3 linked regions of the Struthio camelus genome follow. The protein of the gene in region 3 purifies or fractionates together with the protein of the main gene of each other region. This does not show direct contact. Links are inferred from orthologs where the notes say so. Each region holds a gene or a part of one and is shown on either strand. Other genes may lie near its edges. The genes, in order: NCBP3, LARP1 and SRSF3.

The links.
Region 1: the proteins of SRSF3 (region 3) and NCBP3 purify together in Homo sapiens (co-immunoprecipitation; 3 studies listed by BioGRID and IntAct, with this or other methods). This does not show direct contact. The link is inferred for Struthio camelus from reciprocal best matches to the Homo sapiens genes SRSF3 and NCBP3.
Region 2: the proteins of SRSF3 (region 3) and LARP1 purify together in Homo sapiens (co-immunoprecipitation; 3 studies listed by BioGRID and IntAct, with this or other methods). This does not show direct contact. The link is inferred for Struthio camelus from reciprocal best matches to the Homo sapiens genes SRSF3 and LARP1.

The regions. Positions count from the first base shown.
Region 1 is NC_090957.1:15,832,587-15,836,330, forward strand, and holds the start of NCBP3 (nuclear cap-binding protein subunit 3), read right to left. Parts: upstream 2,510-3,744; 5' UTR 2,007-2,509; coding exon 1,854-2,006; intron 206-1,853; coding exon 140-205; intron 1-139. UniProt on the Homo sapiens protein: Associates with NCBP1/CBP80 to form an alternative cap-binding complex (CBC) which plays a key role in mRNA export. NCBP3 serves as adapter protein linking the capped RNAs (m7GpppG-capped RNA) to NCBP1/CBP80.
Region 2 is NC_090954.1:12,071,123-12,074,866, reverse strand, and holds the start of LARP1 (la-related protein 1), read left to right. Parts: upstream 1-905; 5' UTR 906-920; coding exon 921-1,278; intron 1,279-2,566; exon of another isoform or gene 2,567-2,661; intron 2,662-3,744. UniProt on the Homo sapiens protein: RNA-binding protein that regulates the translation of specific target mRNA species downstream of the mTORC1 complex, in function of growth signals and nutrient availability.
Region 3 is NC_090965.1:4,705,397-4,709,140, reverse strand, and holds the start of SRSF3 (serine/arginine-rich splicing factor 3), read right to left. Parts: upstream 2,319-3,744; 5' UTR 2,104-2,318; intron 1,252-2,103; 5' UTR 1,250-1,251; coding exon 1,044-1,249; intron 482-1,043; coding exon 347-481; intron 1-346. UniProt on the Homo sapiens protein: Splicing factor, which binds the consensus motif 5'-C[ACU][AU]C[ACU][AC]C-3' within pre-mRNA and promotes specific exons inclusion during alternative splicing.

The sequences.
Region 1 (3,744 bases), on a different chromosome or scaffold from region 3:
GAATTCTCTAGCTGTTAAAAAATACCACCTATCTGAACATGAAGCTAAACTTCTGTGCCTCTTAGGAAGGAATGAAATGCTTCCTCCTACGCAGCAGCAACAATGAGAACGCTTTGAAGAACCACAGGGTAAAAATTACCTTGGAGGTTACATCTATTCCAGTGATGAAACTTCCAGCTTTGTTTTCATATCTTCTACTAGTGTCCTGAAATAAAGCAGAACGGTGATGATATCTTGATGAACACCAAAACCAACAAACTTGCTATTCTGAAAAAAAAAAAAAGGGGCTATTTCTACAAGAAATCCATCCTCTTGATCCATACTCCAAGCTACATCCCTAAATAGGTATATAAACATAACTCTCACTGACGTGAGTGAGAGTGCACATCAAATGAACCAAACTTCCTTAATATGAAGACTCTCTTCTTTGGTAATATTCAGTGTCTGTATCTGCCACCGCTAAGGTTTTTACTTACCCCGTCTCAGCAATGCAATGGAAGTGATCAAAAACCTTTTCTAATTAAAATTGCCACAATTTTAACTTCAGGTATAATCTCCTTGGAAAACATTAACAGATTTAACGTTCAGACCATAAAGATAGCAGACTCCTAGAGTTCCAATTTACAACTTCAAGTTACAGTCAAAGTCAGAACACCAACCCTTTTTCACAGTTAAACAAGCAACTTTCATCCCTCTTCCATTCATTATTTTACAACTTATTTCCAAAAAAACCCAGTAATACGAAACATTAACTTTTTGGATACAAACCTTTTGATAGAGTAAATATTAAGAACAACGCAGGAAAAAAAACAAATCACAAGTTTCATTCTCATCAGTCCGGTCTGCTGAATTTGCAAGACCGCACTAAACCCCATAGACACTGGGCCAGTCACTCAACTCAATCCCTTCCATTGTTTGCTTTATGTAACAATGGCGCCTTTTCATTCTGGCACTGGTACCCTCAGGACCATCACCAGGTAGGTGTAAATGTGTTGTTTACATTTGTGTTGCAATAATTATTTTGGCTAAAGCACTTTTTCCAGGAAGTAATCCAGTCTCAGTTTAGAGATAGCAAAGCCCACAGAATCTAACCCCTTTTCTTAGTAACAGGTCAGACTTCCTCTGGAGCAGCAAAACGTGAAGAGTTATTACAACAGGGAACAAAAATATATTACTTGAAACTGGAAAAAATACTGCCTGGGTTTGACTCATGAAAAACAAAGAAGTGGAGTAAGGTGCTGTCTCTTAGACCACAGAGTTGGTAGGAGCTAAAGCATGCTAGCACATTAGCTAATTAGAGAATCATTTCTACAATAACTTCCACAGAAGTTTTCAGAGTAAAAAAAAAAAAAAAAAAAAACAGACGACTTAGGAGTTTAGCTCTCCTCCGACCCACTTTTTACTTTTTAAGTATTAAAGCTCTCCTCACTAGATTGTATCCGGCGCAATTAGCATAAATTAAAAAAAAAAAAAATCCTTCAAGCCCCGCTTTTCAAAGCCCCGTACCCCAGTGCCTCCAACCCCCTTCCCCAGGGTCACCCCCGTGTCCCCTCTACCAAGCACTCCTCTCACGTTGCCACCCCCAGCCCCACACCAGTCCCCTCAAACCCTTCCCCACCGACTCCCTTACCCCCTGCGCCCCCCAAGTACGTCCCGGCCGCTTCCTCCTACACTCCCCTCAGGGGCCCCCGGCCCCCCTCCCTCAAATCCCCTCACAACCCCCTCGCGGGCGCCGCCCCTTCCCCCCGCGGGCGCCCCCAAACCCCCTCACAGGCCCCCGGCCCTCCTCCTCCCTCCCCCGGGGCTGGTCCCTCCTTCGCCCCCCTGCCCCGATCCCACCTCCCGCCCCTCACCGGGATGAGCTCCCGCAGCGAGCGCCTCACGGGGATGGTCTCCAGTTCGCCCTCTTCCACCTCCATAGGCTCCGGCTCCGGGCCGCGGGGCTCCGCCGTTGTCGCCGTTGCCTCCGCCTTCACCGAGATCCGCAGGCCCCGCACAGCCGCCATGGCTCCGCCAGGCCCGCCCTCGGCCCGGCCAGCGAGGCGGTCCCGCCGCGGCGCAGAGCGCCGCCGCCCACAGCCACCACCGAGCCACAAGGCGGATAGAGCGCCACCCAAGGCTACGAGCGGGAGCGGCGCCGACGGCCCGCTCTGGTGCGCCTCAGCGCCATAGAGACGCGGTGAGAGGGCGGCTCCGCGGGTCCTCCAGCGTTACGGATCGGCAGAGGGCTAAAGCGGCCATTTTCCCCACAGACAGCTGCTCGCCGCGGCCCTGACCTCGGGGCGCTGAGGGAAGGGCGAAGGGAGGCAGGCGCGCCGCCTTCCTCCAGCCCTCAATGGCGTCGCTTGCAGCTGATACCCCTGAGTGGATTTTTCTGTTGTGAATTTGCTGAGATTTTGAATGCCTGCCCCGCCTTGGGCAGCACTGAACGTCTGAGTGTGAGGAGCAGGCCTTGGATCCGTGGGATCCTTTCACATGAGCCGCTGCGCCGCCATGTGCTCTCCTATGTCTGGAAAATTAGAGCAAAGCAGAAAAGTCGTAGGGAAAAGAATACATGCTGTACAGAGAAATACAGAATGAGATGGAGGGGATGGGTTGTAAGGTCCAGACCTTGTCAGCGCAGGCTCTGCTTTCTACAATGACTTTTATAATGATCTGACTCCTTAAAATGTTAGTGTGTTTTTTTTTTTTCTCCGCTCCCCTCTGTTCTATAGGAAGGTCCTTCTGGATTTCTACACATCTGATGAAAGAAATCTAATTTCCAGCTTAAAAGTTATTCATGGCAAGTCTCTAGCCTATTGTTCTTGGGCTGAGTTTGGGCTATTTTAACAGAAAAGTCCTAGCTCTTCTTGGCCTTCCTTTCACTGGGCTAAGTCACACTGTTTGGATCCATTATCATGAAACAAATTCTTCATTCCTCTAATTATCCTAATCTCTGTAGTTCAGCTATATCTTCCCTGGACACAGCAGACCAGAACTGTGTTTTAGCTGAGGGCTCGCTAGGGCTTTAGTCAATGGCATCAGCGCTTCCCCTCCGCGGCGAGACACCGCAGTTGATATATTCCACCGTGGCAGCTGCGTTTTGTCAGCTGCATCACATCTGCAGCTCACAGTCACTTTAAACTAACCTGCTCAGGTTACACATCCACCTTGGTTGTCACATCCAGCCAATTTCAGTAGAAATTCCTCATATTTCTTGGGCTGCTCCATTCCTCAATTTTGTACAATTTCTGACCAAAACCCTCAAAATTATCCCCTGTGATATGTCGCCTTTCCTTTGATTTGATAGTACTTCCCAGTAAATTTCAGTAGCCAATTTTGACTTTTCCAGCGTGGTGTGGAGAGATTTTGTAGCTGGCAACGTAAAGGCTCCTGCCCTTATACGTACTCCAGTGGGACCAATATTTTTTCTCACTACAAGTCACACCTTCCAGGCTTACTATTTTTAACAGTCTCTGTGTAGAAGTCCTTACACAACAGCTAATGTCAGCTGCACTCCTCAGCGTGCTATATTTGGTGCTGACATCATGTAGCTAGTATCTGGCAAGAACCACAGAAACATGATACTTCCAAACCAGATGTGAACAGTTATGGCAGAGACCAAACACACATACGTAACATGGACATGTGAGTAGTAAATAGGACATAAACAGCTGATGAAATTCTGGAATGAGTGCAAGAGGAAACACATCTCTGTGGCAGAAATGCTATTTCTCCAGAACATGGTCCACCAAAAGGTGGACC
Region 2 (3,744 bases), on a different chromosome or scaffold from region 3:
TTCGCTCTCCGGTCTACAGCTGGGCAGCTGCAACTGCCTAACAACAAAATTCCCAGTTGTGTTTCTAGTAACATTAGAGAGATCATTATTCATTGCCAAATCTGCTGCTGGTAGCCTAGAATAAACTCATAACACAACTGTGGCGCAACCATTGGGGGGAATTATTTCAATCTGAGCCGACCCAAACTGCTGTACCTATTTCTTCGCTGTCTACCACATCGTGACCATTTAATGCTGGCGTACAACCTTTATTCCTGCGACGCCTCCGACGGGAACCGACGGCGTTTGCTTTCACCCCATTTATTAGTCATACAACAAGAGGCCTTACATGCCCCGGTAGTTCACATTCCCCTATTTTCTTGCAGAGGCTCTGGGCGTCTGCCCCCCCCGGCACGGGCAGGGCCGAGCCGCGGCGGGTGCCCTCGGCGCCCCCCCGGGAGCCGCCGCCGGCGGGCAGCAAGCAGGGCCCGGCCGTCTGCGCCGGGCAGCCGGGACGGAGCCCGGGGGGGGGAAGGGGAAGGGGGGCAGGAAGCGGCAGTGCGCGGAGTGGGCCGGGCCGGGCCACCTCCGCGCCACCGCGGCGCGGCCCCTTTAAGCGCCCCCCGCGCCGCCGGGCGTTGCATCAGGCACGTGCGCGCGGCCGGCCGGTCGGGCGGCGGGCGGGGGCGCGCCCCGCCCCTCCCCGCCCCTCCGCTCCCTTCCCTTTCCCTCCGCTCGCCGGTGGCGCGCGCGCGCGTGCGCGCGGGCCGGGGCGGGCCGGGCCGGGGCGGCGCGCGCCCCCGCGGCAGTCGCGTGGTCCCCGCGCGTCTCCATATTGCTGCGGCTGCCTCGGCGGCACGGGGGGGGGGAGGGCGGGCGGCGGCGCGGCTCGGGGGGCGCCGTGAGCGAGGGGAGTTCCCCGGCGGGGCGGGGGCGCGCAGATGGCGACGCAGGTGGAGGCGCTGCTGCCCGGCGCCCCGCTGCTGCCCGCCGAGGAGCGCGCCCTGGTGCTGAAGCCGCCGCAGGACGGCGGCCGGGAGAAGGGCGAGCCGCCCATGGGCCCCGACGGCGGCCCCGCGGCGCCGCGGCCGCCCAGCGCCAAGCAGCAGAAGGAGGAGAGCAACAACCAGGAGAAGGAGAGCCTGCTGCGGGCGGGCGGCGGCGCCGAGGCGGAGGAGGGCGGCGAGCCGGGCGGCGCGGGGCGCCGGGAGTTCATCGAGGCCCCGCCGCCCAAGGTGAACCCGTGGACGAAGAACGCCCCCGCGGCCGTGCTGACGGTGAACGGGCAGTCGCCTCCAGGTGGGTGCCGCGGCCGCCGGGGGGGGGGGGAGAGGAGGAGGAAGGGGGGGGGAGCTGCGCCGCCGACCCCACCCCGCCCCGGCCGCCCGCCCGCGCCATGCGGCACGGCGTGGGGACGGCGCGGCCCGCGGCGCCGGGGCGGGGGGCGCCCCGCGTGTCAGCCCGGTGGCCGGCGTGTGTGCGTGCGGGGTGGGGGGAGCGCCGCTCCCGGGAAGTAGGAAGCGTTGGAGCCTGCCGTAGCCATGAGGCGCGCGGAGCGTGGGCGAGGGGGAGGGGAGCGCGGCGCGGCCCGGGCAGTGGCCATGCGGCTCCGAGGCCGGGGGCAGGGGCGGCGGGGCCGGGGGGGGGCGGGAGGGAGCTGAGGGCTCGGCGGCGCCGCGGCGAACGTTACGGGGCCGCGGCGCCAGCGGCCCGGCCGCGTTCCGAACGTTCCGAGCGCCGGCGCGTGTGCGCGCGCGCGTGAGCGCGTGTGTGTCTGTGTCTGTGCGCGCGCGCGCCGCGGCGGCGGCGGCGGCCTCCCCTTCCCAGCATTCCGCCGCAGCGCAGGCAACGTGGTTGCTTCCCCGGCTCGCTGCGAGCATGTGATTTCCCCCGAGTGCGCGGCGGGGCCTCCCTGCTGCGCTCCCCGCCCCGGGAGGCGGCGGCGGGGCCCGGCCCGGCTCGGCTCGGCCCGGCCCGCGGCGCCCATGTGCTCGGCGCCCTGCCCACGTGTGCGCCCCCCCCCTCCCCCCCGCGGCCGCGCCTAGGCCGCGGCGGCGCCTTTCTCTGCCGATTCATGGCCGCGGGTGGGCCGGGGGTGGCCGCGGCTCTGCCCTTCCGCGCCGGCTGGCGTGAGCGCTGCAGGGCGGCTTAAAAGCTGCTCTGTAGCAGTGCCCGCTGCGGCGCTGTCATGGTATCGGGGCCTTCCTCGCGGCGCTGGGCCGCTTCGGGCAGCGTTCAGCGGGAGCGAGTCAAAGCGGTACGGGACAAACGGTGCGTTTGTAGTCCGCCGCTGTTTTAAGCGGAGGCTGAATTTGCAGAACACCATTTCCTTGTTAGTTGAGTAGATGTCATTTTTACCGAGAGGGATTGCCTAGCACCGACTCACTCCACATGGGTGCGAGAGGAAAACACGGAAGTTTTCGGTGAACATCTTGTTTGGGAAAGACTCTTAATTTTTCCAGTCAGCCTCTGTAAACACGAAATAACACTGCCAGATATGACGTCAGATTTCTCGTTACTGTATGTGCTAGCGTTTTGCAAGAACTGAGACTAACATGATGATTCATTGGAGGTACTGGTTTTTGGAAGATGGACAGCTCTGTGATTTCCACCTGGAAAGCTGTCATCTTACATGGGGAAAATAGAGGATACGTTAATTGTGCCAAGTGAAAGTCTGTTCAGGTAGGTTTTTGGTCTGTCATCGTATGCAATGATGTAAGCATAACTTAACAAAACCTAGAGCAGTTTGCTGTTTACGTTTGCCTCTTGGTGCGTGACATAAAGCCGGTGACGTTACTCCTTTACGCAAAAGTGAGGCTGCATCACGCTGCTTTCTGGAGTAACGTTCCCTAGAAATAAACCAAAAGGTTCAAAAATGCTGTATAATACAGGATGCTGAGGAGTTGAGGGCTGGTGTCTTTCCGGTTCTGTTTATTCCATACGTCATCATGGCGTGTCTCATCTACATCTACAACATCTACTGAGTTACAGTATCTTTTTTGTTTCTCACTGTTAAAATTACATATTTCTATTTAACATTAGGTAAATACAGATGTGCTCTCTGTGTCCCTTTCTACCTTTCTGTCTTGTATGTTCCTATTTGAGGCTTTAACGCTCATGTTTAAAGCTCATAGAGGACAGCATTCTGTTACCAGGCCCCTTGCAAAGCTGGGAGAACGCGGCGATAGAGGCTGAATGAACGGTAGGAGCTCTGTCAAACGCTGAGTTGAAGAGGAGGGGGTCTTTGCGACTTAGGAGGCGATTTTTAAGGGGAGCATGTGTGCCTTACGGTGAGGTAAGGAAATAATCTCGCAACACCTAGAATTCTGTTGGGCTTGACAGAAGTGTCCCAGTATTCCCGAAGGTGTTTAAATAATGGAATTGATTAGTGGTGCGTTTGTGATGCTTGGCAGCAATGTCTGGTTCATACACTGCTGCCCTAGACGCTGCTGCTTGGCTCTCTTGCGCTGGGGGCTTTGTTTCTTTTGCTGCCTGTTTCGTTAGCAGAGAAGAAAACGTGTAAAATAACCATGACTCTCCCACGAGAGGCAGACTCACAGCTGACCTTGCATAGCCGGCCTTCGCCTGAATGTGTTCTTCTAAACTTGGTAGGCCCCTGTCGTGTCTTTACTGCTTTGGGTAGAGGATTTGAAGAACTTTTGTAACTAAACTTTTGTAAAAGTTTACAAAAAAAAACATTTGGAGTGTGAGTTTGAAGAAGACATGTTGGCAAGGTGAATTTTCATGTTGCTGTGACTTCCAGAA
Region 3 (3,744 bases):
GTATGTAATGTTTTGCCATTATGGAATAAAGGAAAGGAACAGCCTAAGTTGAAGTATGGGGAAGAAAGGGAAAGTGTGACTAGAAGATGAGCAGATTTTAGGAGGAAAGAGGATAAATCCAGGATAGAGGGCGCTGACTACCAACTTGCACAGTCACCTAAGGACAAAAGCCAACATTCAACACAACTTATGTTCACCTCGATTTTGATTTTTTAGCGTTTGGCATCTCCAAACTGTGATCAGATAGATGAACGTTATCCATCAACATGCTTTAAAAAGCCTGCTTCTACAATGCTAAGTGGTAACAGTGCCAACAGCTCTATGAGGGTACTTTGACCTAGGGTACCTGCGGCGAGGAGGAGGACTTCTTCTGCGATAGTCATCTCGAGGGCGCCGGCCCCAGGACGGAGGTGGACCACGGTTCCGACTCCGTTTTTCACCATTGGAGAGCTCCACTCTGACACGACACCCACAGAGGGTTCTGAAAAAGAAACTGCCATTAGCTAGCACTTCTAGCAACGACCTTGTTTGCAAAAAGGGAAGCTCACAGAATTGGAGAGGAAAGAGGAATGAATAACCGGGGGGGCCGGGGGGAGGAGGGGGAACTCCATCAACATTTTAGCCAAACACACATTATTCAGAGTCTAAAAAAAACAGAAAACACGACCAATAAAAGGTCTGGCCGCTTCTGAAAGCTCAAGCCAAACTACTAAAGCAGGAAGTGAAGGAACCTGGAGAAGCTCCACTTACCAGTTTTACCTCTTTATAGTAACACCATCTTGAACTTAACTGATGTAGATAAGAAGCTCAAGCCATACCCAACTTAAGAGTTTAACTCTAAAATGTAAAATTAACTCTCCCAATGTTACTTAAAATCGGCACTATAAAATACAACTGCTCTTAAATCACTGCACAAGTTATTTTGTGTAACAAGCGCATTAAGCACTTGGCTTTGAAGCTGCCCAGCTTTAAACTCTATCACTAGCTACAGTTTCTGTTATTTCTATTAAGCAAGCCACACACACATAAGAAGCACATTTTACCTTCCATCTAGTTCTCTTACGGCATCAGCTGCGTCCCGTGGATCTTCAAACTCCACAAAGGCAAAACCAGGAGGATTTCTTGCCACCCACACACTGCGCAGTGGTCCATAGTAGCCAAAAGCTCGCTCTAACTCCGTTTTATTGCCATTGTTTCCAAGGTTACCCACATAAACCTTGCAGTCCAGCGGACAAGAGTCACGATGCATTGCTAGGTCAAAAAGAAACAAAAAAGCTCATGTATATTTAACAGACAACAACGGTTTATTCACTTGGTCAGAAAATAATTCAGTTGATTTTTTTGTCCAAGAAACTGCAAGAGCACCGTGATCTGATATATAAAGACAGGCTACCCTAGATATATCATTGTTTGCATGTGGCTGGTGGTAGGGGAGCACCTTGGGGGAGAGCGGGCAAAAAAAGTTGCTGCCTTGCCTTCACTGTTAAACTAATATTAATTTGTTATTTCTGTGTGAGACTGTCTCAGGGAGATCGATTTGTATTGCTTCCAACTTTGAACAAGAGTGTTCCTCTGCGTCCCCCGCCCCAGCCCCCGGGGTTACAGCGGGGGCGGGCCTGCAGGGGGAGCGCTGCGCGGGTGAAGGGCTCCATTGTTCTCGGAGCGGCCCTCGGGGGAAGCTGCCTATGCCGGGGCGAAGCGCGGCGCCATCCTCGGCAGGGACCGTGCCGGGAGCGCTCGGGAAGTGCCTGGAGTCTCCTCGGCACGGCGTGGCGAACCACCGCCACCTCGGAGCGGGCGGCAAGGCGCCACGGCACCTTCGCGGCTCCCCCCGCCCGGCCGCACCTCGCCCCACTGGCCACCGTCGCGGAGAGAGTGCGACGAGCGGGCCCCTCAAGACAATCCGTGGCCTACCCGCCTCTTCCCTGCCCGGCTCGCCGTGGCGCAGCGGCAGCCGCCGCCCGGGGCCCGGCTTTACAAAATGGCGGCGGCTCTTTGTTCGCCGCTGCCGGGCCCCGCCACTTCCATCCGCCCTTCCGGGGACCGGGACCGCCGCTGCCGTTTCCCCCCTCCCCCCCCGCCCTCCGAGGTGAAGGTCCTCACCGATGCTAAGAGGGAGGGCGCGCGAAGGGAGCCCGCGCTAATTTCGTAGCCGACTCGACCCCCAACGAGACTCCCGCTCCGCTTTTCCTCACTGGACAAAATGGCGGCGGGCGCCTACCCCGCCCGCCTTTATATACGGGCAGCGCGCTCTCGCAAGACGGCGGCCGACGGCAAATCAGAGGGCGCCGCTCCGCTGACTGACATTCCGCTTCGTCCCGCCCCCCCGCCGAACACGCCTATTCCCGCCGCGCGGCCCAAAATGGCGGCAGGGCGGGTTTCGTCACGGGGCTGTGGCCGGCGGCCGTTAGTGATCGCCTCCCGCGGGCTGAGGTCCTCCTCTCGCCCCGAGTCCCCCCTTTGGCAGCTGCTTACCGGAGGAAGACCTCAGGCCCCAGAAATAAGGAAAGGGGAAACGCCCCAGGGAGGCTGTCTTGTTTGCTTAAAGGAAAAAGGAGTTTTTCTTTCTTTTTCTCGTTCAGGTGGTGTTCTCCAGGTTCTTGCCCGAATCGTTAAGGTTTTACATATATGATAGCTTAGAGTTGCAAATAGCTACTTATCCCCAAGGGCCGGGCCTTGAAGTAATTACGTGGCAAAACCACTGTTACCCCAGAGGTTTTTGTAGGTTTTATTATGCTTTGGCTGGTGCCTACTGAGGCACAAAGGAGAGAAAGGGCTTATTCGACGCTTGAGAGCAAGTCGGAAGAGCTGGGATTTAAACCGAGGAATTTTAGTTACAGAGAACATAGTCAGAGGACAGCTTTCCGTGGTGGTGATGTGCTTTATTATTACTCTGGCAACAGTCCATAACTGACTGTCCAGAGAGTAGTTAAAAAAAAAAAAACACACAGTGATTTTCTCCAGAACAAACTTCTTATTCTGTGTTATCTCAAGCAACATAAGAAACGCATCAAGGAGAGTTTCTGCAGCAATTTACTAAGATGCCATTTTGCAGCCCTATCTCTAGGTTGTGTTTAATGTACCAGTCTAGGCTTTAGTTTACCTTTTTGACTTGGACTGAGCAAGACAAGTTTATCTGATACATGTGTGGACAGTAATACTGGGAGTATTAAATGGGGTAAGGTATTTTGGGCGCAAATTAATGTGTATGCGTTTTGTCTTCTGACCAGGAATTCCGCAGAGGAAGAGACATCCTCAATCTACTGCAGTTCTACCAGCATGTCAAAATATTTGGATTAAGGACAACCAGCTAACATAATTCATTTGAATTTTCCAAAAATCCTTTTACAGCCTCCTTCATTAGTTCTAAGAGCCTCTTACAAGTAAAAGGCTTGTAAGAATGAAAGTGGGCCAAGTGGCAGAAAACCAACAAGAATTTTGACGTAATCAATGCTCTAAAATAGCTTTAACGTGTGTACAGTTATCTGACAGTTATCAGCTTTAACTTAAGGAAACGTAATTTACTGTAGATTAGCTGATAGTTAATTTCCTGAGACCACAAAAACAAAGGAAATAATTGCAATTAACCATTTGACTTCAAAGACTTCTTTGAGATGGTGATTTCCCATGTTTGCCTCCCTTCCTGACAGGTTTTTGCAATGTTTACTAGACCCTTCTTCATATCACATAACCTACATTTGAAATATCATTTAAATTTTGATATACTCACCAATTTTTAAAAAC